Linked DNA regions of Arabidopsis thaliana. Each later gene encodes a partner of the first gene's protein in a complex. Each region holds a gene or a part of one and is shown in the gene's direction. Other genes may lie near its edges.

Region 1 (5,224 bases):
TGTTGAAGTTCTATGTCTGTTTCAAATTGATGTATGGAGTTCTATTTTTGGTGTGACTGAATCTAATGAAACTTATGTCTTTGTAAACGTTCGTTTCAGTGGCCAAAACAGCTTAACGCACCTTTAGAGGAGGTTGATCCTGAGATTGCTGACATTATTGAGCATGAGAAAGCTAGACAATGGAAGGTTAGTTTGTCTCTGAGATTACTATCTCTTAAATCTTGTTCCTTGATTGATTATTATAAGTTAGGCTGATGTTTGTAACGCTTGTGTTATTATAGGGACTTGAACTTATTCCATCTGAGAACTTCACATCTGTGTCGGTGATGCAAGCTGTTGGGTCTGTCATGACTAACAAATACAGTGAAGGCTATCCTGGTGCCAGATACTATGGAGGAAATGAGTATGTTCAGGAATTTTCAATCTGACACATTTAGTTTCAGGACATGATTGCTTGACCAATCTCTGTAATAAGAATTGAAATCTCAAGTACCTTTTGCTTTGTAGGTATATAGACATGGCAGAAACCTTATGCCAGAAGCGCGCTCTTGAAGCTTTCCGGTTAGATCCTGAAAAGTGGGGAGGTAAATTACTACTTTCATGTATATGAGAAACAAGAAATCTGATTAGTCCTTTGATGGCTTATTTGACTGGATCTTACAGTGAATGTTCAACCTTTGTCTGGATCTCCTGCCAACTTCCATGTGTACACTGCATTGTTAAAGCCTCATGAAAGAATCATGGCACTTGATCTTCCTCATGGTGGTCATCTTTCTCATGGTTATCAGGTGCCTTCAAGTTAACTTTGTATGTCATTTCGGAACTCTCTGACTCTGATGAATAACAGTTTCTTTCTTCTTATTTCTCATCAGACTGACACCAAGAAGATATCAGCTGTGTCTATCTTCTTTGAAACAATGCCCTATAGATTGGACGAGAGCACTGGCTACATCGACTACGATCAGGTTCTTAACTCTTCTATTAAGCAATCATAGTAACTTATAACTAACCCGCTTCATAACAATACATAAGTCTTTAATTTTGATTTGCAGATGGAGAAAAGTGCTACTCTTTTCAGGCCAAAATTGATTGTTGCTGGTGCAAGTGCTTATGCTAGATTGTATGACTATGCCCGCATCAGAAAGGTAATTTCAGTCTCATATCCAACTACAGAACAGATTATTGTAATCAGTAGTGAGTTTTGATTCGAACTCTTTTCCCAGGTCTGTAACAAGCAAAAAGCTGTAATGCTAGCAGATATGGCACACATCAGTGGTTTGGTTGCTGCTAATGTAATCCCTTCACCGTTCGACTATGCTGATGTTGTAACCACCACAACTCACAAGTCACTTCGTGGACCCCGTGGAGCCATGATTTTCTTCAGAAAGGGTGTTAAGGAAATTAACAAGCAAGGGAAAGAGGTAAAAAAGAAAAAGAAGCAAAATTTGAACCAAAATGTTTTAGATTTATGTATAATCTTTCACGTCATTCATTTGTTGTCTTGAAAGGTTTTGTATGATTTTGAAGACAAGATCAACCAAGCTGTCTTCCCTGGTCTTCAAGGTGGTCCACACAACCACACTATCACAGGACTAGCTGTTGCTTTGAAACAGGTACGGTGAGGCACGGAATGGAACTAACGTTGCTTATTGGATTTGCGGTTTCTGTAACCTTCAAATGGTTTGAAAATGCAGGCAACTACTTCAGAGTACAAAGCATACCAAGAACAAGTCCTGAGTAACAGTGCAAAGTTTGCTCAGGTACTAATCCCGTGAAGGAAAGAAAAACACATATGGCGTAGTATCTACTTTGATTATATCTCTACATTGTTGTTTCGTGCAGACTCTAATGGAGAGAGGATATGAACTTGTTTCTGGTGGAACTGACAACCATCTGGTTCTAGTGAATCTAAAGCCCAAGGTCACTTGATCTTTTTTTGTATATAATCTTCTTTTATATTTCTTAGTTAAAACTCATTTTTTATTCGATTTTGTTTGCAGGGAATTGATGGATCTAGAGTTGAGAAAGTGTTGGAAGCTGTTCACATTGCATCCAACAAAAACACTGTTCCTGGAGATGTTTCTGCCATGGTTCCTGGTGGAATCAGAATGGGTAAAAATCACATTTAACCATTTTTCTTTTTGGTATTCGAATGGAGTTCTTCTTGATATCCTCTGCCATTGTTATTTTCAGGTACTCCTGCTCTCACTTCCAGAGGCTTTGTTGAGGAAGACTTTGCCAAAGTAGCTGAATACTTCGACAAAGCTGTGACAATAGCTCTCAAAGTCAAATCTGAAGCTCAAGGTTTTTACTTCTCTGATCACGATGCTATGCTTTCCGTTCTTATATACAATGATTGAACTCATTTGTTATGTTTCTAAAACCAGGAACCAAGTTGAAGGATTTCGTGTCAGCAATGGAATCCTCTTCAACCATCCAATCCGAGATTGCGAAACTGCGCCATGAAGTCGAGGAATTCGCTAAGCAGTTCCCAACAATTGGGTTTGAGAAAGAAACCATGAAGTACAAGAACTAAACTGTTTCACCCCACAAGTGTTTTCTGTTATGCTTTGAATTCCCATGGAATGTATAGATGATACATGTAAAACTCTATTTTCACGCTATGCGAAAAATAATGATCTGTTAAATTTTCTCTCTATACATCAAAAAGAAATATACTTAGACAAAAAAAACACATACAACAAAACAGTGAATTCCCTAAAGAAGATTGTCTTTAGCTCACAAGTGACTTAAGAGTAACCACAAAATACCAACAAAACGAGAAAGGGATAAATAAGAAACTAGAAGTTGGGAGAGGCTCATCCACAAGCTGTGGTCATTTCTCAACCTCATCAAATCTCTTTACAAGAATATGGTTCTGTAACCGGACAACATCTCAAAACTTGTTCTGTTTTTTTTTTTTCATTTCTTAGACAGAAAAATGGTTGCAGCATTCTCTTACACTGCCTGCACCAAGCTTTCTCTATTACATCCTTCTATGGTTGCTCAAATCCGACCAAGAACAACACAAAAGGCGTTCGTGGTGACAAATCCGGAACAAGACAGTACTCTTGAAGTACAAGAAACAGAGACACTCAAAGAAGAGCAATCAACAGAGAAGATGAAGAAGCAGCCAACACCATTGAGACCAGTGGAGAAACAGCTGAACGTGAAGAGCAAGGGTATGGGCGATTTTGGTGGTCAGTGGCTAAGCAGTGTCACACGTCACGTTAGGATCTACGCTGCTTATATTGATCCAGAGACTTGTGAGTTTGACCAGTCACAAATGGATAAACTCACTTTGATTCTTGATCCTACTGAAGAATTTGTGTGGGATGATGAAAGCTGTAACAAGGTCTATTCTTATTTCCAAGAACTCGTCGATCACTACGAGGTAACGATAACAATAAACGAACGAAACATTCATCTAAAAGTTAGACTCATTTCAAGAAGACCTTATAATATTGTTTTTGAACAGGGAGCACCATTAACGGAGTACACATTGAGATTGATAGGATCGGACGTAGAACATTACATAAGGAAGATGTTGTTCGATGGAGAAATACAATACAATATGGATGCAAGAGTTCTTAATTTCAGTATGGGAAAGCCTCGTGTACAATTCAATACCAGTAACATTGAAGGTGGTGGAGATGGTCAGCCTCAAGAGGACGCTTAGTGAAACAAACTCTATTTTATAATCATGTAATGGGAATATAAATATATTGTAGTATGCTTTTTAATTTTGTCTATCACAAAGTAACATATGTATATATCATGACATATGCTATAATTATTTTTGTAATAATCAATCTTAAGTTTCTTTGTCTTTTCTTGTTAATGTAAGGTCTTAAGGTCATGTGAATATGTAATGTCAAAGAAACTCAATTCTGGTCTTGCTCATTCATGTTCCTTACTCCTTGCCTCTTTTTAAAAAGATTTCAAACTGATGCAAAACTTGTTAGTTTTAACATTTTTACCCAAAAAGTTATATTAAGTTTTTGAATTTGTCAACGTTTACTAATTATTTACAATTAAAACCCTGTTCTTCTTATCCTCTGGTGTTTCTCGTTGTTCGTCACCAAGACGAACTTTGTGAGGGAGAAAAAATGGCGAATTTACTGGAAACATCAATCTTTTTCTCCTCTGCTGATAAATTACTGTCTTTCCCGCCTAAGAATTCTCAAACCCATCATCTCCCTTTCTCTGCTTTCATCAATGGAGGAAGAAAGATACGCAAAAGCTCAACTATCACCTTTGCTACCGACACTGTCACTTACAATGGCACTACAAGTAAGCTCATAAACCCTAAATCTCTAATCTTTCTGTCTAATTACCAATAAATTCTATTTCTTTAGATTCCAATTTGTATTAATTGTCACCATTAGATAAGCTAAACCCTTTTCATAGACTAGGATTCGTCTAGTTAGAGAAGCTTTTTTTATTGAAGATAGAAATTTTGTGTTTAGGTGCGGAAGTAAAAAGCTCTGTTGAGGATCCAATGGAAGTTGAGGTTGCTGAAGGTTACACTATGGCTCAGTTTTGTGACAAGATTATTGATCTCTTCTTGAATGAGAAACCTAAAGTTAAACAATGGAAGACGTATTTGGTTTTAAGAGATGAATGGAACAAGTACAGTGTTAATTTCTATAAGCGTTGCAGAATCCGAGCTGATACCGAAACTGATCCTATATTGAAGCAGAAACTGGTATCTTTGGAAAGTAAAGTCAAGAAGGTATTTATAGTGTTGTATTTTGTGTTTATTAGTGAACTCAGGTTAGTTTATTGTTGTTGTTGTGTACTTATAGGAGTGAGTATTGTTGCAGATAGATAAGGAAATGGAGAAACACAATGACCTTTTGAAGGAGATTCAAGAAAACCCAACAGACATAAACGCAATCGCTGCCAAGAGACGCAGAGACTTTACGGGAGAGTTTTTCCGCTATGTTACTTTGTTATCAGAAACTCTTGATGGCTTGGAAGACCGAGATGGTACTTAAAACATTAATCATGTTGCTTACTTATTGATTCCCACAGTTTCATGATTGTTTTGTTATTTTTGAGCAGCTGTTGCGAGGCTTGCAACTAGATGTTTATCTGCTGTGAGTGCTTATGACAACACGTTGGAGAGTGTTGAGACTCTAGATACTGCTCAAGCAAAGTTTGAAGATATTTTAAACTCTCCATCCGTGGATTCTGCTTGCGAAAAGATCAGAAGTTTAGC
Region 2 (5,420 bases), about 12 Mb from region 1:
TTTCACCATCTTGCTCTATTATTATGAATCCTACATCTTATATGCAATTGTTCTCATTTAATAATTTTGAATTTTATTTAAATTTTTGCGATCTATTTTGATCCACAGATTAGTTGAGCGTTATTGTCTTCACCTACACGTTAACATATTTTAATAATATGTTATATCGGGACAAGTTCATATCGAATGAGTAATAGAATTGGATCGGGGACAAAGTCAGATCGAATGATAGACAAGATAATATGTAATAACTGAATATTTTTGTTGTTTTACAATAGAAGAAAAAAAAATCGTGTCGGTGAAAACAATAATGCTCAACTAATCTGTGGACCAAAATAGATGGTAAAAAATGATGAAATCAAGGACAAGATCTAGATACAACAGAAATATTGTGATGAATAAAATTGAGAGACAAATTTAATTGAAAGTTACATGTAAAGAATCTGTGCAGGTTGTCAAAGAAAGTGAGAGAGTGACAAAAGCGCTTCATCTTCGGGAAGATAATAATATATGGTTAAAGCGCACAGATTTCAAGGAAGGAGAGATAAAATAGAGAAGAAATGGAGAGGGACAAAATCGATATTTCAGTATGAAATATGACATGAGTTGTAAGGCCCAGCAAATTATGGCAGATTGCATAAGGATTGGAAAAAATATGGCATATGTTGTAATTTTTTCCTTTTTAAAAATAATCTAAATAATTCTATAATCAATATGTGAACGATATTATACTTTACAGATCTTTTTGTAACTTCACCTTAATTATGATAGACCTTGCAAACAAATAAATGCAACAAAAAATAGACACTAAAAAATCTCAACAACAATCTTTAAATTATAAAAAATCACATAAATATCTTCGGGATTCAAATTTTAATAATTATTTAAACGGATTTTCTAATTTATATCAAAACCAAATATATTGAATATAAAATATACAAATAGGAAATACATTAATTTAAAAGATACAAAATATTTAACAAGAAATTGTGTTATTTTTTGTTCAAAGAATTCGATATAAAATCTTCGAAACGATCCGATATTGATTCTTATTAGATTGAAATTGTTAAAATTTCAATATATTATACAATTTTTCTTTTTAAATTGAAATTGTAAACCGACTCGAAGTATATTAAATAAAAATATTATTAAAAAGAAAAAGAACAATTTGATTTTTAGTTATCACGGGACGGATTTATATGGCGGGACGGGTTTACAGGAGACGAGTTTACATGGTAGGACGGGTTTGGATGAGACGAGATTATATGGTGCTATGAGTTTAGATGGGAAAAATTTGGATACCACGGGTGTACTCCTAGAATTAACAATCAAATTACAACTATACAATAGTAAACAAAACAAACAATAATAACATAACAAATACAATTTTAATTTCAAATTTTTAGTTACAAAAAAATAAATAAAATCAACATTTTAGTATAAGTGTTAATCTTCTTTGACACCTCTAAATGTTATTCTTCTTTGATACATTTAAATGTGTAATTTTAATATAAAGTTACTAAACTACATATGTTCCATGGATTAAATTTGAAAACACCAAAAGTTTATATTAAATAATTTTTTTATAACAAATTATGAATAAAATAAAATATTATCCCGTGGTATGGTCTATCACAAGTCAAATCCTAAAAGATAAAATAACATATATTAGACTTATTAATATCATAATTGTGACTCAATAAAAAACATACACAACCTTATCGATAATTATTAATCATCACAAACAACAACAAACAACAAATTATATTTTGTGATAAAGAAAAATAAATAAATAAATTTAATTTACGGTATATCGCGGGTCATATCCTAATTATGATACAATTGTCTATTTTTACCCTATATATATTACAAACGCACACATTTGTTGCATAACATATTTAGACATCGCTTCCAAAGAAAGAAATCATTTATCTCTACATTATTTCTTCCTCTCATTGCCCCTCTCTTCTCAACGTTTTGTCTCTTATATCTTTACGTTTCATACTTTTTTTTTGTTGACATTTAATTATTTAAATTTTTTGTTCCTATGGACACTAGATAGGACAACAAAAGATATAAAGAAAATCTACACCACACATATCATGAGGTTCTGGAACAAGTTTCTGCGGTAAGAGAAACCAAAAACATGAAGGGCAGAAAAAAAAAGAACAAACCATCTTCAACACAGAGCCATGGCTTATGCAACTTCTACCTATGCACGAACCTCATGCATTATCCTACCCAAAATCCAAAACGGCGCGCATTTCACGGATGACACGAAAGCATTTAGAAGGATAACAGCAAGAAGAGTGACGCGTATATACGCGTCACAAGGCCCGACTAAACCGTCAAAACCATCTCCAGGAGTAGACACAAGAATCCACTGGGAAAGCCCGGACGAAGGCTGGATCGGAGGAAGATCCGACCCGGCCAAATCGGTTGATGAGGACAAAACCAATCTCCTTAGTGACGAAAAATTTGCAGAACTAATCAAAGACTCTTTTGATTCTCATTACCAGTGAGCAAAACAAACATTCTCATTACATATCTTTTTATTTTTATTTTTCAATATGTATTGTAACATGTAACAATAATCATTTTCAGATTCTTAGGTGTTTCAACGGATGCTGATCTAGAAGAGATAAAATCTGCGTACCGGAGATTATCTAAAGAGTATCATCCAGATACAACTTCACTACCACTTAAAACAGCTTCAGAAAAGTTCATGAAATTAAGAGAAGTGTACAATGTTTTGAGCGATGAAGAGACTCGGAGGTTTTATGACTGGACACTGGCTCAAGAAGTTGCGAGTCGTCAAGCTGAGAAAATGAGAATGAAGCTAGAGGATCCGAAAGAGCAAGATTTTAGGGGCTATGAATCAATACCTGATATGGTTGACCGGTTAGGTGGAAGAAACATGGAGCTTAGTGATCAAGCAATGACTGCTCTCACGTTCGATATTTTGATCGTATTATTCGCTGTTTGTTGTATAGCTTTTGTGATTGTTTTCAAAGATCCTTCTTACTAGGTAAGGAGCTTTGTATATACTTGGAAAATTCATATAGTTTATATGTAGATGGAAGATTAACAATTACAGATTATAAGATCATTTGAACTAAAATAAAGTGGTCTAGTGGTTCTGTTCCTCACCTTTTTTGTGTGTGTGTTATTTTTGGATTTTTTCTAAGCTATCCAAACATTGTTTTAGAGCTATATTTTGTTATGCTTACCTAGCTAATCCAAATAGTCTCATTTATATAAAACAAAGCGAACAAAATAGTAGTTTTGATAACTAATGCGGAATTCACTAGTTTGGGAAGTATAGTAGGAATAAAAACTAGGGAGATTTGCAAAACTACCCTTTTTTCACTACCTTTTGCAACAATACCCTTTTATCAAGTCTTATATATATGTAGCACCTGACTCAATCCTCCTTAGACGTGTTCCTTAGAACTGTTCGATGCACATTTTGACTACGTTTTTTTTTCTTTTTTTCCTAAGATGTAAATATTTCACTAAAAATGAAAACAGTTTAAGAGTATAATCAAAAGACTATAAATGGTCCCATGACAAAAGAAAAACATGAAGCATAATTTATCAAGCAAACTTCAGTCCATCCGCATAACAAACGCACATAAGCTAATAGAACTAGATGAAGTGATAAAGGATTTTGTTGTTCTTTCAGACTAGTTTGAGTAAATGAAGGGTGATAGCACGTGAAGAAGCCAAAATTGTCTGCACACTAAGCACTATAAGCCTTTCACTGGAAACCCAAATTGAGACGTCAACGGTTAAGTACTAAATGTCGTCGATCACATTTTGATTTGGAACATGGCTTGTGTTGTCATTGTCTCAATGAACTGTTTTAGCGAGGCTTCAATGTGAGCAAATTTCTCATTGACTTCTACTTCTACATGCATCTTCACGAGCTTCTCTTGGACGTCGTCAAAGCTTACTTTAAGTTGATCAAGTGTGTCCTTGTTATTCGTAGTCATTGTACGAATTTTTGTTCTGATACAAAATGAAAAACAAGGATATGGAAATTGATAAGAACAATAGTCTTTTGGTAGAAAAATTATGTGATTATCTTCTTATTTTTATACTTAAATAGGGTATACAACATGGACGTGAATATGGAATCATGGATTCATACAAAAATGGAGATAGGGGAAAGTGGTTCCTACTTCTATGACCACTAGTATTTATTTAGGGGGTGATTGACATTGGACTGTTAAGACTTTAAAAGCATTTGACAGTCCTTACAAGATTAATAATATTTTTAGACTTCAAGTTTCTTTTGTAAAATTCAAGATTAATAATATTTTTAAATATTTTTTTTCTCAAAAATCCATCAAAACTAAAAATTATTTATGATTCGATGATTTATTTTTGGTTTAGACCCTGAATGGATGCTGATTTTCGATTCAGTTTTTGGATTTAGATTTTAGTTTCTAGATTTTAGATTTTAGTTTTAGATTTTTGTTATTATATTTTTGTTTTAAAAACCCCAAAAAATTGGTTTTTAGTTTTTGAGAAAAATAACGTTGATGGAGTAAAAACTAGATTCCCTAAGTTTTAGGAAAACTATAAAATTAAAATCATGAATCAAAAACTACAACAAAATAGTTTTTCTAAATTGTAGGGAAACCAAAATTTTATAATCTTGATTGGTATAAAAATAAGTTTTTGAAAAACAAAATCTAAAAACTCTTACAAAATCTACAAAACATTCAAGGCCTTAGTCTATTGTATTCTATTTTGGTTTCAATGGATGCAATGAAAAAAGCACACTAAATCGCTAACAGACAAAACCACTTTATTTTTAGAGCGGACGATAAATCGCATGCGGATAAAAAAAATTCTACGTAAAAGTTATCTGTAGTTAGTACACCGCAAACTTTTTTTTTTTTTAATTCGCACTACTGCGGATTATAGTTTATGAATGATAAACAAAAGGGTGAATGAAATATCTATACATGGAAGAATATATAATTAAGGATCTACACATATCATTTAGTTATTTAGGTGGAAATTTTCTTGTAAATTAAATATGACATAATTGCCCCTATACAAACAAAGAATCAGTAGCCTTCTTCCGCGAGATATATTGTACCTATAAGAAAGAGACACAAAGCATTTAAGTCTTAGGTGTGTACCTATATATATATATATATATATATATATAGCTCCTTATCATTTTTTTGAAAAAAACAGTCGATAACAAAACTTTTACCATGGTTTTGAAAACAGGAAAGAAGATGTCGCTGATAACTTTGGATTATCGATAATTTTGAAAATATCATGATAATATACGAATTAGCAGGGTAAAAAAATGTTTACATATTACATTTGTTGATGGTGTATGAAGAAAGTAGAGTCGATAAAGTAAATGTTATCTGATAAAAAAGGAAAATGACTGC
Region 3 (5,014 bases), 5.4 Mb from region 1:
GTCTGCAATAGAGAATTTCAAGAGACATTACAAGAAGAATACAAATTTGAAACAGGATTGTAAAAGCTGAACCTTAACTCACCTGTTGACAATAAATAGAAGAAAAGACAAGGGCCTTGAAGGACGACAAACCGAGGAAGCCAGTCGTCTACTTCTGTATCATCTATTGGTGGTGGTTCACCCGGAAGAGCTGCCCAACGCTAAAGTCAAACAAAAAAATAAGGCAAATTTGTAAAACATCCTAGTGGATCAATAATGATAAGTAATTCAGAGTAAGGCCCTACACTTCTGATAAACAAATAACCAGATAAACGGGCAGAGCGCAAGACTTCATCCACATGTTCCAACCTATGTAGCAGTTCAGCAAGAAGAAATTGAGATATGCGCTTTTAATCTGAGAATGGAACAAATTTGAGTATATGACTTACTGGGCTTTGAGGTAAGCTTCTCTTTCTTCCATATCAGAAAGTTCTGATCTAAGTGATTCTAACTCCGCTGCTGATAGCTCGACCTGCCAATGAGAGAGTGATCAGGATTCAGGAGAAAACCCTGAAACTTCAATGAGGTGAATCAAAAACAAAGAAGAAAGGTGTGAGAGAATGGAACCTTCTCTTGACCATCTGAAACCCAAGGCAGACGGCGAAGAGTGAACAAATTCAACATAGTTGCTGCTCTTTTCAGGTTTCTGCGAGTCCGTGACTGGCTATAAGGCCTACTCTAAACAAAACCACCCGAAAAAACAATTCATTTCAGCTCAGAATTTCCCTTCTTAGCATATTTATTCGCTAACAATTTACCTCAGAGAACTATCGTCCTTTGGCTGCGAAGATGATGGAGTATCGTGCTGAGAAGATTCTGCTGTGGGACTAGGAGCACTAAAGTGATCAGGTAATATGTTTAGCTTCTTAGGAGTACCATCATCCATGAATTGAAACGACTCCAGAACCTTCCACTAGAAAATGAATCAAAGCTTAGCCAGAGATGAAACTACTCTAAAACTCTCAGCTTGTAGTACATTGATTCCCCAAAAGAAGTCGAAAAAATCACATAGTTAAAAACTTTTTTGTCCATTCAAGAGATGTCATCTGAGCATGATCTAATCTAGATTCTGATATGAGACAAACTCCTATATGAACTTTAGCATTCCATGAACATTATTTAATCTCCCTAAATGACTTGTCTCTCAGTCTCTATCTTATGCTTATTCTTATCATAGATCTAATCCACAAGTATGTATGTATCATCACTTGGAGAGATATATAACTACTAAAAATCCTTATTCCTCACTGAGGATCAAACATACCTCTTTATATATCTTTCAACGCCGAATTTTACAATCCCACTTCACCAGAAATTTTGATATCCCTTGTGAGAAATCAGCTCGCTGTAAAAGAAAAACAAAGTTCAGCTTCTACAAAAAGAAAGAGGACGAAAATGAACTCTTTCTTTTTCCCATTCTAGATTTTATTAGCTCAAATTAAAAACAACAGAATCGAATTTTCTGGAAACCCTAACAAAATACAAAAACATTGAGCAGAAATAGAAGCTCGGAAGTCGGAATCGAATGACGGGAACCTCGAATAATTTGAAAAAATTGACTGAAGAGAAGATCGAGACCTTGTTTTTACCTGATCGAATGTGATCTCTGTATTCAAGGGAAAGTGTTTACGCAATTGGTTTTTTGGTTGAGTGCTTACTGCTTCAGCAGGAAGAAGATGTTGGGTTTGGGAATTTTACTCATAAAGAAACTTTAAATTTGGTACCAAAAAGACGCTTTTATCCCCCGGTTAGGTTGCGTCAGCCAGCTCTACCCACATGGGCATTGCTGCAGATATTACAAGTTTTGTAATTTGTTAACGAATGTTTGTAAACTTTTGACTAATCTTATCTACAATATAATGAATTTATCGAATCAATGTAAAAGTTGTTTTCATTCATGCTTAATACATTAATTGATCAAAGTTGCCAACTAAGTATTTGGTGATGCCGATGAGTGTAAAGGACAGCCTAAGACAAAAGTGTATGTCTAATTATGATTTGGGAGTATGGGATTCCAATTATTAATGTCGTTGACCCAAATGATTTATCTTCTTCTTGCTGCTTTTTTCTTAATAAACAAACAAATCCACATTATTAGCATTTAGCAATATGTTTAATTACATTACCATTGTTTTTAATCTAGGCCCATATCTCTTAAGAATATTCAAACTTGGTCCAGGTTAAACTTATGACAAAGCCCAAATGTTCCTACTCTTTCTCCTAAATCATTATTCCAAACACCGGTTACGCATTAACCGGTTCAGGTCCACTGGTAATTTGGAAATAGATAGAACTCATCTAACTGAAATCATGATATGTGGTCATTATAACAAGCGAATCAATCACACGCTTCTTCCTTCCTCTTCCATCTTCTTCATATCTCCCTTAGTCACCTCTACTCTACTCTGCAGGCAAAAATAGTTATGGCGACTTCTTCGATCACTATCCCGACCATTAGAACTCCGATTCATCGATCAAAATTTCTAGGCCAAACACATCAATTTTCAACTGTAAACCGGTCGGTTTTCCCGCCTCCAAAACAGCAGTCAAAACTGTATCAAGTAAAGGCCATGGGTAAATTCAATCTATGGGAAGTGATGGGAGGAAGAGGATTATGCAACGGAGAGAAAGGTATTGAGAAGGAGCTCCAGAGGAACATTGAAGACGAGCAAGAGACATCAAAGGCTGAGAACAACGAGACAGAGAGAGAGAGCGATGACAGTAACTTGTCTTTTAAAGTACCTGAAGATGGTTTCGAGAAAGAGATGATGGGTCTCACAGGAGGATTTCCCGGTGGCGAAAAGGGTTTAAAAACGTTTATCGAAAAAAATCCACCACCTCCTCCACCACCACCACCTGCAAAACAAGGAAGCGATGCATCCGCGGTTGCTACAGATAAGAAGCCGAAAGCGCCCAAGCTACCCCTTCTCATGCCGGGGATGATTGCTATAGTCAAGAACCAGAACAGTCCGTATCACATGTATTGTGGAATTGTGCAGAGGATCACTGATGGAAAAGCTGGTGTCTTGTTCGAAGGAGGAAACTGGGACCGTCTCATTACTTTCAGGCTTGAAGAGCTTGAACGAAGAGAAAAAGGTCCACCGGGTAAGAATCCAAAGTCTTGTATTCTCGAGCCTCTTATCGAACAGATGCAAAAGGAAGAGGCAGCACCATAAGTGATCTTCTCTTCTCTGTATGTAAGTTCCTGTGAATGTATATGTAACGTACCTTTGCGTTTTAGGCTACAATATTTCTGACTGGTTCTAAAAGAGCTTCATCATGTGATATAAAAAAAAGAATAAACGATGAATTTCAATCATAAAGCACTTAATAATAGAGATTCAAATGCACTCAATCAATGATGAATCAGTATAGAAGTTAAAAACTGCAATGGAGTAGTTTTATTGTTATCATTGGTTGTTGTAAACATCAACCATATCAGTTTCTTCTTGACTATCGAGTATATTCTGTAAATGGTAAAGATGAGAAGTGATCCACCATTCTTGTCAACAGATCATGTTGAAATGATCAGATGCAGCCTCCCAACTGTAAAAAAAATTCAGAAAAGGATAAGGAAGTTAGAAACAGAACAATATTATTAAATCATGAAAAGGGTTCTCTCAACTTGTAATTGGTCACATAATTATAACTTAGTAGTTGGTCACACATTATACTGTTAGATACATGTTCATCTAAGTGTTGTTATACATGTCAAAATGAAGTTACATACCAAAATGGCTTCCATTTCTTCGTTTGAAACTGGCGTGCGCTTTGGCTGCGATGATGCCTTCCCGCCAGTAGTCTTTTGGATGTTGTTCAAATTGGAGAAGAACAATGTATCAGCTTCATTTGCCACCTGACTCTTTCCCTCTGAAGCTGCAATGCCAGAAAGTAAATCGCATAACAAACAGATGATTACCCAAACCAAAAGCTAAAAAACATAAGAGCTTCTCTATAATGATTCGAGATTTGATAACAAACACGATTCGATTCAATGGCTAAACAAATCTGTGTATCCTTTGAATCTAACTATGTAAATGCAAATCAATCAGAGCGAAATAGATCGGAAAGCAAAAATTCACAGCCAAATGAATACAATCTCATATCTGATTCATGAAAATGAAACCGTACACAAAAAAAATTCGAATCAAGCGAGAAAAAGCCGAGCAAAATTGTGGAAAAAATAACATAGATTCTGTGTAGAGAGTTTCATGGATAATCGAAAACCTGAAGGATTAATATGTCTCTGAGGGAATTTGATGCGAGGAATCCTCTTCAAACCGTGAACTACGTTCATCTTCTTTTCGCTCTTTCGTTCTCGTCTGTGTACCAAAAGGAGAATGTTGACGACGGCGACTGGAAATTTTCTCTCTCTGTATTTTCCCGAACCTTCGGGTTTATTTTCAAAGTTTCTCCAAAAGTGGGCCATTTTTTGTGGTTAGGCCCAGATAAGTCTATATGACCCATTTAAAAGCCTCACAATGTTCGTTTCTCTGTTGGGACAAAAAAAATCCCTCTCAAGTCAAAACCATAAATAAAAATCAAACTAGGAATTTCTTTTTTGTTTTTGACTCAATCGTGTTTTTTGTTTGAGTGCCATTAATTGCCATAATTATGTTAATCTCAGATTCAGACTGAATGTTTGATAGCAAAGGGTAGAGACTAAGAGAGAACCAGGACTTAGTCAAGCGTAAAAATCTTTTTGGGTGGTTGGTCGTAATCCACCAAAATTTGGTAAGCTTTCAACGCGTTATCTCAATAAAAGTATTAACCACTTCTTTGTTTCTCTCTATTGTCTACACTAAATAATATATACGTTTCTATAAAAAATCCTAATAAATTGATAAAATATTTACTAATTTCCCAACAAGATATGTTTATTTTTGGTATCATTTAAAACATGAGTCCGGCCGAAAAAAAAGTTTATCAAGTTAATTGTCTATATGTGTTTTCTAGTCTGCCTTATTGTGGAAAT
Region 4 (6,017 bases), on another chromosome or scaffold:
TAAATTGATTAGAGTATCAACAATAAAGAAAGTTGGATTCCCTCCCACCTCCGAATTCCAATCTAGAAGATGTTTATCTTTAGAATCCAAACATTTTAGGTGCCTCAAGCGGATTTTTTTATATATAATTTATATACTAATTATTATGATACACTGATATTAGTAGCTAGCTAGTATAAATAAAACACTAAGCTACATATTTAATCAATATGAATTTAATTTAGGTGATACTGTATTAGTGTTTTTATGATTACATAAAGAATCATAAAAGTTTATATTTAAGCTACCAGTTTTACTCATTAGTTAAACACAAAGAATTGATTGGTTCAAAACGGACTAAAACAAGTCGAGCGGAACAACAATTGACCTGTGAATATGTGATTGTAATACATGCAACGCATTTTGTTTATTTTTCTTGAAACATGAGTGACTGAAACATATTATATTCAATATATTGAAACATAGTTTACACACAAATACATCAATCCATGGATCATGGTGGTCTTATTATCATTTCGGTTATAGAAACACGACAATGGGTTCAAGTTCTTCAGTTATATATAATCCAAGCTTATGTGATCTTATTCTTCTTCTGCTTCTTTGCCCTATATTCCTTGATGTCACTTTCTACCTTGGCATTCACACGCGCTTGAAAACCGGGATATGGTTCATACCCGAAAACCGATTGAAGAACCTGTATTCATTCAAACATTTCCACATTAGCTTTTCATGTATTCTGGTTACAGTTTCCACAGAGCAGTATAATAAGGTAGCAGGAGATAACAAACAAATCACAACATAACATAACACCAACAACTTTTACCTCGAGCAACACGAAGAAAGGAGCCATGAGAAAAGCTTGGAGTAAATTGTCTAACAGCGCAGGTGCCCGTTTCTGTGAGTAGACAAGAATCAATAACATATGTGTTAGGACTCATGTATACGGATGACAAGACACAAAGGAGAATCAAAACAATGATTTCTAAAAGCCAGAGAACTTACCTCGAATACTCCATGGCCAACGAACTGCCCGGTCCAACATAACAGCTGAGATGCTAACCCAACCTGAGTAAAAAGACAATTAAATTGTTACAGTATCTACATAACAGAGAGAGTTGGCGTCTTGGTGAGTATTAACTGTTTTCCCCTTGCTGTTGAATACATATAACAAACTAATCAAATGATTCAGACTGAAGATACATATAAACTAATCAAATGATTCACAACACAGAAGATACATAAAAAAGCTCCTAAGTTACAGATGTCTCAAATACTATGGAAGAAAAACCAAACTTTAGTTAAACAAGTGATGTAGATTCTAATTATCTGAGACCATCCAAATGTTGGTGGTCAAGAACAACACTTGTTTCCGTCCAAGCACACATCAAATCCTCTTAACCAATGAGTCAACAACACTAAAAACATGACAAGTCTCCGGACCAAAGAATCAGAACCGTGCAAAGGTGGACAATTGCAGAACAAACTGCAATAACTACTAATCATGAATGTTCAAAGCTAGAGACATGATATTAGTACTGCTGTCTCAACGTTAACAGCTAATGAAGGGACCCATAGACAACAGATAGAGAGGACTAATGATATAAATAAATCTATTTCTTCTTCCCCGAGCATAACCAATGATATAAACGAACTTTCAAGTCAAAGCATAGAAAACAATGAACAATAAATGCATGAACCACACTCACATCATATAAATATACACATAGAGCAACACATGGATACACATAGTCATATACCCTCATAAACATGCTTCTACGCAATTATTTTCTCCAAAAATGAAGTTTTTTCAAAAACCCTAAATTGAAATTAGAGAAAAAAAATCTAACCTTTAAGGCAAGAGAAGATCCTAGTCGAACAGCAAGAAAACTGGAACCAACCCAGCAAGAGAAACACATAAGAGCAGCTACAAATCCAGATTTCTTATCCAAACCGATATAGAACAGAGCATAAATCAAGGCGAATATAAACCCAACGTTAAATCGCAAAACGCCGTCGAGGGTCAACGATTGAGAAAACCCTAATTGAGAGGGGTCGAAAATTGGGGTCGACGAGTGGAGGAGAAGTAAAACTGAGAAGAAGATTGGCCAAACGAAGATGATGTGGATTAGAATGTTGATCGGATTGCTATGGTAAGCACCGTAGAAGGCGAAGTGTTTCTCGAGATCGAACAATCCCATTATGCGACTCATGGATAAAAAATTCGTTGAGGAAGAGGTGTTTTTATGAGGAGAAGATCGGTGGAAATTGGATAATAGTCACCAAACAGAGGAGATTAAAGATATACACGGGAAGAAGACGAAAGTGGAAAGTTTGATTAGCAATTTCCCGAAAATGATGCTAACGTGCGCTTTTTAATAGCTAACATGCGCTTTTTAAAGCGATAGAAGTTGACTTGGCCGGAGATTTTCTTCCGACTTTTGACAAAATACTAGTCGCTAAGAAGAGTAGACGTGTTATTGTGATTGCTAACATGCGCGAATAAAAGCTGGTTTAGATGGATATACATCATTGAAAGTTTGGCAAATAGAACATACACTATTCAACGAATGATGTATTTGGGATGATTGCTAACATGCGCGCATAGGAAGTTGAATTAGATGGAAATATCATTAAAAGTTTGGCAATAGTTGCCAACGTACGCTATTCAACAAATGATGTATTTGGGAAGAGACATAAGCGGAAAGTTTGAATTTCACCAACCAAAGATTTATTAGCAATTTTAGTGTGGTTACTAACTTGCACGTCTAGAGGAGTGAACGTGTTTAGTGATTGCTAACCTGCGCGAATGGAAAGTTTGTTGGACGGGTAAAATACGAAAGTTTGTAGTTGAATTTTGCTGGAAATATCTTTACCACTCTTTAAGGCAAATAGTTGTTCCCAACCTGAGCGTTTTAGAAGGCTAAAATGTGTACTGTGATTGTCTAAATTGGGCTTTTAAAAGACAAAAAAAGTGTTATGCGATGTGATTGCTAACGTACGTTATTTTTTTATTTTGTTTATCACAAAAGTGAAGAGTGGACGATACCAATTCCCTTATCCACACATTTTCTGCCTCAAAAAATCTAATCTTAAAGATTAAAATAAATGAAAAAATAAAAAAGATTACACCAACATTTTTTTTTTTTCTTCTCCATTGCCACCATCAAGAAGTAACAATGGCTGAAGCTTTCACAAGTTTCACCTTCACAAATCTTCATATTCCTTCTTCCTACAATCACTCGGTACATATTATTTTATATTCTTACCAAAAATATTTCATTACGAAAAAAAGTTTAAGAATTGTGTATTGTGTTGTAGCCGAAGCAGAATTCAGGACCGAATCATGGATATTGGCTATCTGTAAGTAATTTTCTCTAACTAAGACTAAAATTAGAAAAAAAATCTCCATATTCTTGTGAATTTACGTCTTAGAATTTGAAAAATTAGAAGAATGTTAATGAGAAGAGGGAAAGGAATTTGATGAGAGGAAGCTTATGTGTAAGAAAGGCATTGCCACATGATTTGCCATTAATGGCTGTGATGGTTCAACAAATAGAAGGAATGCGTGATATCATTACAGAGAAACACGTGTGGCATCTAAGTGATAAAGCTATCAAGAATGTTTGTAAGTTAAACACTTGGGGTTTCTTGAGAGATTTTATTTTCTTTCTTAGACTTTTTTTTCTTCTTTTTCTTATGTTTTGATATTGATCTTGATATGGCAGATATGTTCTACATCATGTTCACTTGTTGGGGATGTTTGTACTTCGGTTCAGCAAAAGTATGAAAACAACAACTCAAACTGAATCTTTTGATACATTTGCTGCATTGGGATCTTAATAGTACTTTGTGATATTGGATCAATACAGGATCCATTCTACGACTCAGAGGAGTACCGTGGAGATGGAGGGGATGGAACTGGATATTGGGTCTATGAAACTGTATGTATCTCTCCCTTTCTAATACTATTAGGAAAGAAAGAAAAAAACTTAGAAATGCATACAAATTATAACTAGGGATGTTGCAATGGACCGACCAACCCGCTGTGGTCTTACTAGACCCTGTGGACCAGTTCAGATCTAGTTTGACCTCAGACTATCCCACCTTGGTCTTAGTAGGCCATGTAGACCTGTTCAGAGCCGGTTTTGAGTACTCCTCCATGTGTCTCAGCATGCGATAAACCTCCCTAAACAAAGAAAAATAGGTGGCTTTTAGGTTAGCGTTTACCGTTGGTATATATGCACCCAAAAATATGAATCCACAACCTTGATCATCTAAACGAAAGTCACAATCTGATAGATGGTAGGTAACATTGATCCATCCTATTGATAGATCAATCATGCTTAGTAAGTTTGAGCCGGGTTGGGCTTGATATAATAATTCAAACGTTAACAGATCTGATGGTAGGTAACATTGATCCTAAGTTGGGTCGGGCTGGGCTTGCTCGGGCCATTGACCTTTGGTATATCATCACAGATTCACAATGTGTACAACTATTATAAGATTGGATAGAGTTGTTATTGTGTTTTGGGTTATATGATGCAGCAAGAAGACATAGAAGAGAAAGCAAGAGCGGAGCTATGGCGTGAAGAACTTATCGAAGAAATTGAACAGAAGGTTGGTGGCTTAAGAGAGCTTGAAGAAGCTGTTACTAAGTAGAAAACTAACTTGTGAATCATAAACCACTTTACATACACATTATATATTTTCTTATATCAGTCATGCAACATTATATATACTCTCTAGCTTCCATATATATAATATATGTTATGTACTTCTTTGTTGTCTTGTGTTCTGAATCATTGAACGATCATGTTAGGAGCAATTGTCTCCTTCAGAAATTTATTGTTGACGACATCCGATGTCTTAAAAATATAAATAATTATGTTTGGTAAACTATCTTAATTTGCTTTTCTTGATTTCTTCGGTCGCAAGTTGGTCAGAGTGAATATTTATTATTTTTAAGTATAAAAAATTTAGTCAATTGGGGCTAAATTAATTGGTCGTATAGACTGGAAAGTGAGTCTGATGAGGAACAATTAGCGGGAAATACGCTTCTGCACGATTCTACCTGACAAAAACCAAAACTAATCAATCTTTAAAAACAAAAAATAAGTTAGCAGAGGTGAAGAAGGAGAGCTTGTCATGTCTTTGTCAGTAACCTTCGTGCTTCCATGTTTCAAAGCCTCTTCGAGCTTGTAATTGTAAACCACACGTGTGGTTTATTGTTTTTGTTTTCTTTTCAAATTTAAGTTTAATTTTCAGATATTTCTTTTTTTTGTGTGTGTGTTAGGAACACATGACAGGAGATATGATGTAACATTTTTATTTAAACAAAAAAAAGATCTGCATCACTGCATGTAGTGTATTTTGTCGTGTGTCAATTAATTCTTATAGTTGTACAATTTTAATTCTGGCCCAAACATGATTGATGACTTGTTAATGACACATATTTACCATATTCCATTATAATTATTTTTTTTCATTATACAGTTTCATAATAATACATTTCAATTTTCGGTTACCAAAAAACACCATTACACATTTCAACACAAAATTTATACTATCATACGATTATATAGACAATCTCGTTTCCGTCAGCCTCCTTGTGGATCTTGAATGTTCAATCCACACCTCCACATTTTGTAAGTAAGATCTTGAAACTCCTTCTTCAAACCTCGATCTATCTGATTAATAATGAGCGTAATAAAACGATTTTCTCAAATGAATCTAGTACCATCCATGCTACTGAGTCTCTTGTTACGCACTATACGCAGTCGTCTCATCTCCTTCTCGCTGGAGGATATCACTATCAGCATTTCTCTCCTTGAGTTTTACTTTGGTTCTATCAATTCACCTCATTAGTTGTGATACAACTCATAGTTATCTCTTTTAATAAAATGTTATATTAGCCTTTTTTGGTGTGTTTTTGAGATTTTCATTGTACAATGTACACCTTTTTTTTTATTTGGTGTAAAGTTTAACATTAAACCAAAAAAAAAAAGGATATAGACAAA

The links.
Region 2: NdhM (region 1) and NdhT share a complex: the UniProt entries of both Arabidopsis thaliana proteins name them as parts of the chloroplast NDH complex.
Region 3: NdhM (region 1) and NdhS share a complex: the UniProt entries of both Arabidopsis thaliana proteins name them as parts of the chloroplast NDH complex.
Region 4: NdhM (region 1) and PnsB4 share a complex: the UniProt entries of both Arabidopsis thaliana proteins name them as parts of the chloroplast NDH complex.

The regions. Positions count from the first base shown.
Region 1 is NC_003075.7:17,829,203-17,834,426, reverse strand, and holds NdhM (subunit NDH-M of NAD(P)H:plastoquinone dehydrogenase complex), read left to right. Parts: upstream 1-2,807; 5' UTR 2,808-2,941; coding exon 2,942-3,394; intron 3,395-3,478; coding exon 3,479-3,679; 3' UTR 3,680-3,894; downstream 3,895-5,224. Other genes in the region: SHM1 (serine transhydroxymethyltransferase 1), read left to right, coding at 100-186, 282-403, 508-584, 664-788, 873-965, 1,053-1,145, 1,224-1,421, 1,509-1,613 and 5 more; AT4G37920 (endoribonuclease E-like protein), read left to right, coding at 4,110-4,293, 4,470-4,735, 4,827-4,992, 5,068-5,224. UniProt on the Arabidopsis thaliana protein: NDH shuttles electrons from NAD(P)H:plastoquinone, via FMN and iron-sulfur (Fe-S) centers, to quinones in the photosynthetic chain and possibly in a chloroplast respiratory chain.
Region 2 is NC_003075.7:5,928,925-5,934,344, reverse strand, and holds NdhT (Chaperone DnaJ-domain superfamily protein), read left to right. Parts: upstream 1-1,869; 5' UTR 1,870-2,192; coding exon 2,193-2,518; intron 2,519-2,604; coding exon 2,605-3,028; 3' UTR 3,029-3,235; downstream 3,236-5,420. UniProt on the Arabidopsis thaliana protein: NDH shuttles electrons from NAD(P)H:plastoquinone, via FMN and iron-sulfur (Fe-S) centers, to quinones in the photosynthetic chain and possibly in a chloroplast respiratory chain.
Region 3 is NC_003075.7:12,418,794-12,423,807, reverse strand, and holds NdhS (NAD(P)H-quinone oxidoreductase subunit S), read left to right. Parts: upstream 1-2,343; 5' UTR 2,344-2,462; coding exon 2,463-3,215; 3' UTR 3,216-3,394; downstream 3,395-5,014. Other genes in the region: AT4G23895 (Pleckstrin homology (PH) domain-containing protein), read right to left, coding at 1-2, 83-200, 285-348, 429-511, 607-712, 798-925; AT4G23885 (uncharacterized protein), read right to left, coding at 3,568-3,585, 3,770-3,915, 4,267-4,336. UniProt on the Arabidopsis thaliana protein: NDH shuttles electrons from NAD(P)H:plastoquinone, via FMN and iron-sulfur (Fe-S) centers, to quinones in the photosynthetic chain and possibly in a chloroplast respiratory chain.
Region 4 is NC_003070.9:6,457,449-6,463,465, forward strand, and holds PnsB4 (NDH dependent flow 6), read left to right. Parts: upstream 1-2,954; 5' UTR 2,955-3,176; coding exon 3,177-3,242; intron 3,243-3,318; coding exon 3,319-3,360; intron 3,361-3,395; exon of another isoform or gene 3,396-3,447; coding exon 3,448-3,625; intron 3,626-3,725; coding exon 3,726-3,781; intron 3,782-3,869; coding exon 3,870-3,941; coding exon of another isoform or gene 3,942-4,016; exon of another isoform or gene 4,017-4,395; coding exon of another isoform or gene 4,396-4,401; exon of another isoform or gene 4,402-4,545; coding exon 4,546-4,659; 3' UTR 4,660-4,896; downstream 4,897-6,017. Other genes in the region: AT1G18720 (ER membrane protein, putative (DUF962)), read right to left, coding at 572-694, 824-895, 1,003-1,065, 1,848-2,210. UniProt on the Arabidopsis thaliana protein: NDH shuttles electrons from NAD(P)H:plastoquinone, via FMN and iron-sulfur (Fe-S) centers, to quinones in the photosynthetic chain and possibly in a chloroplast respiratory chain.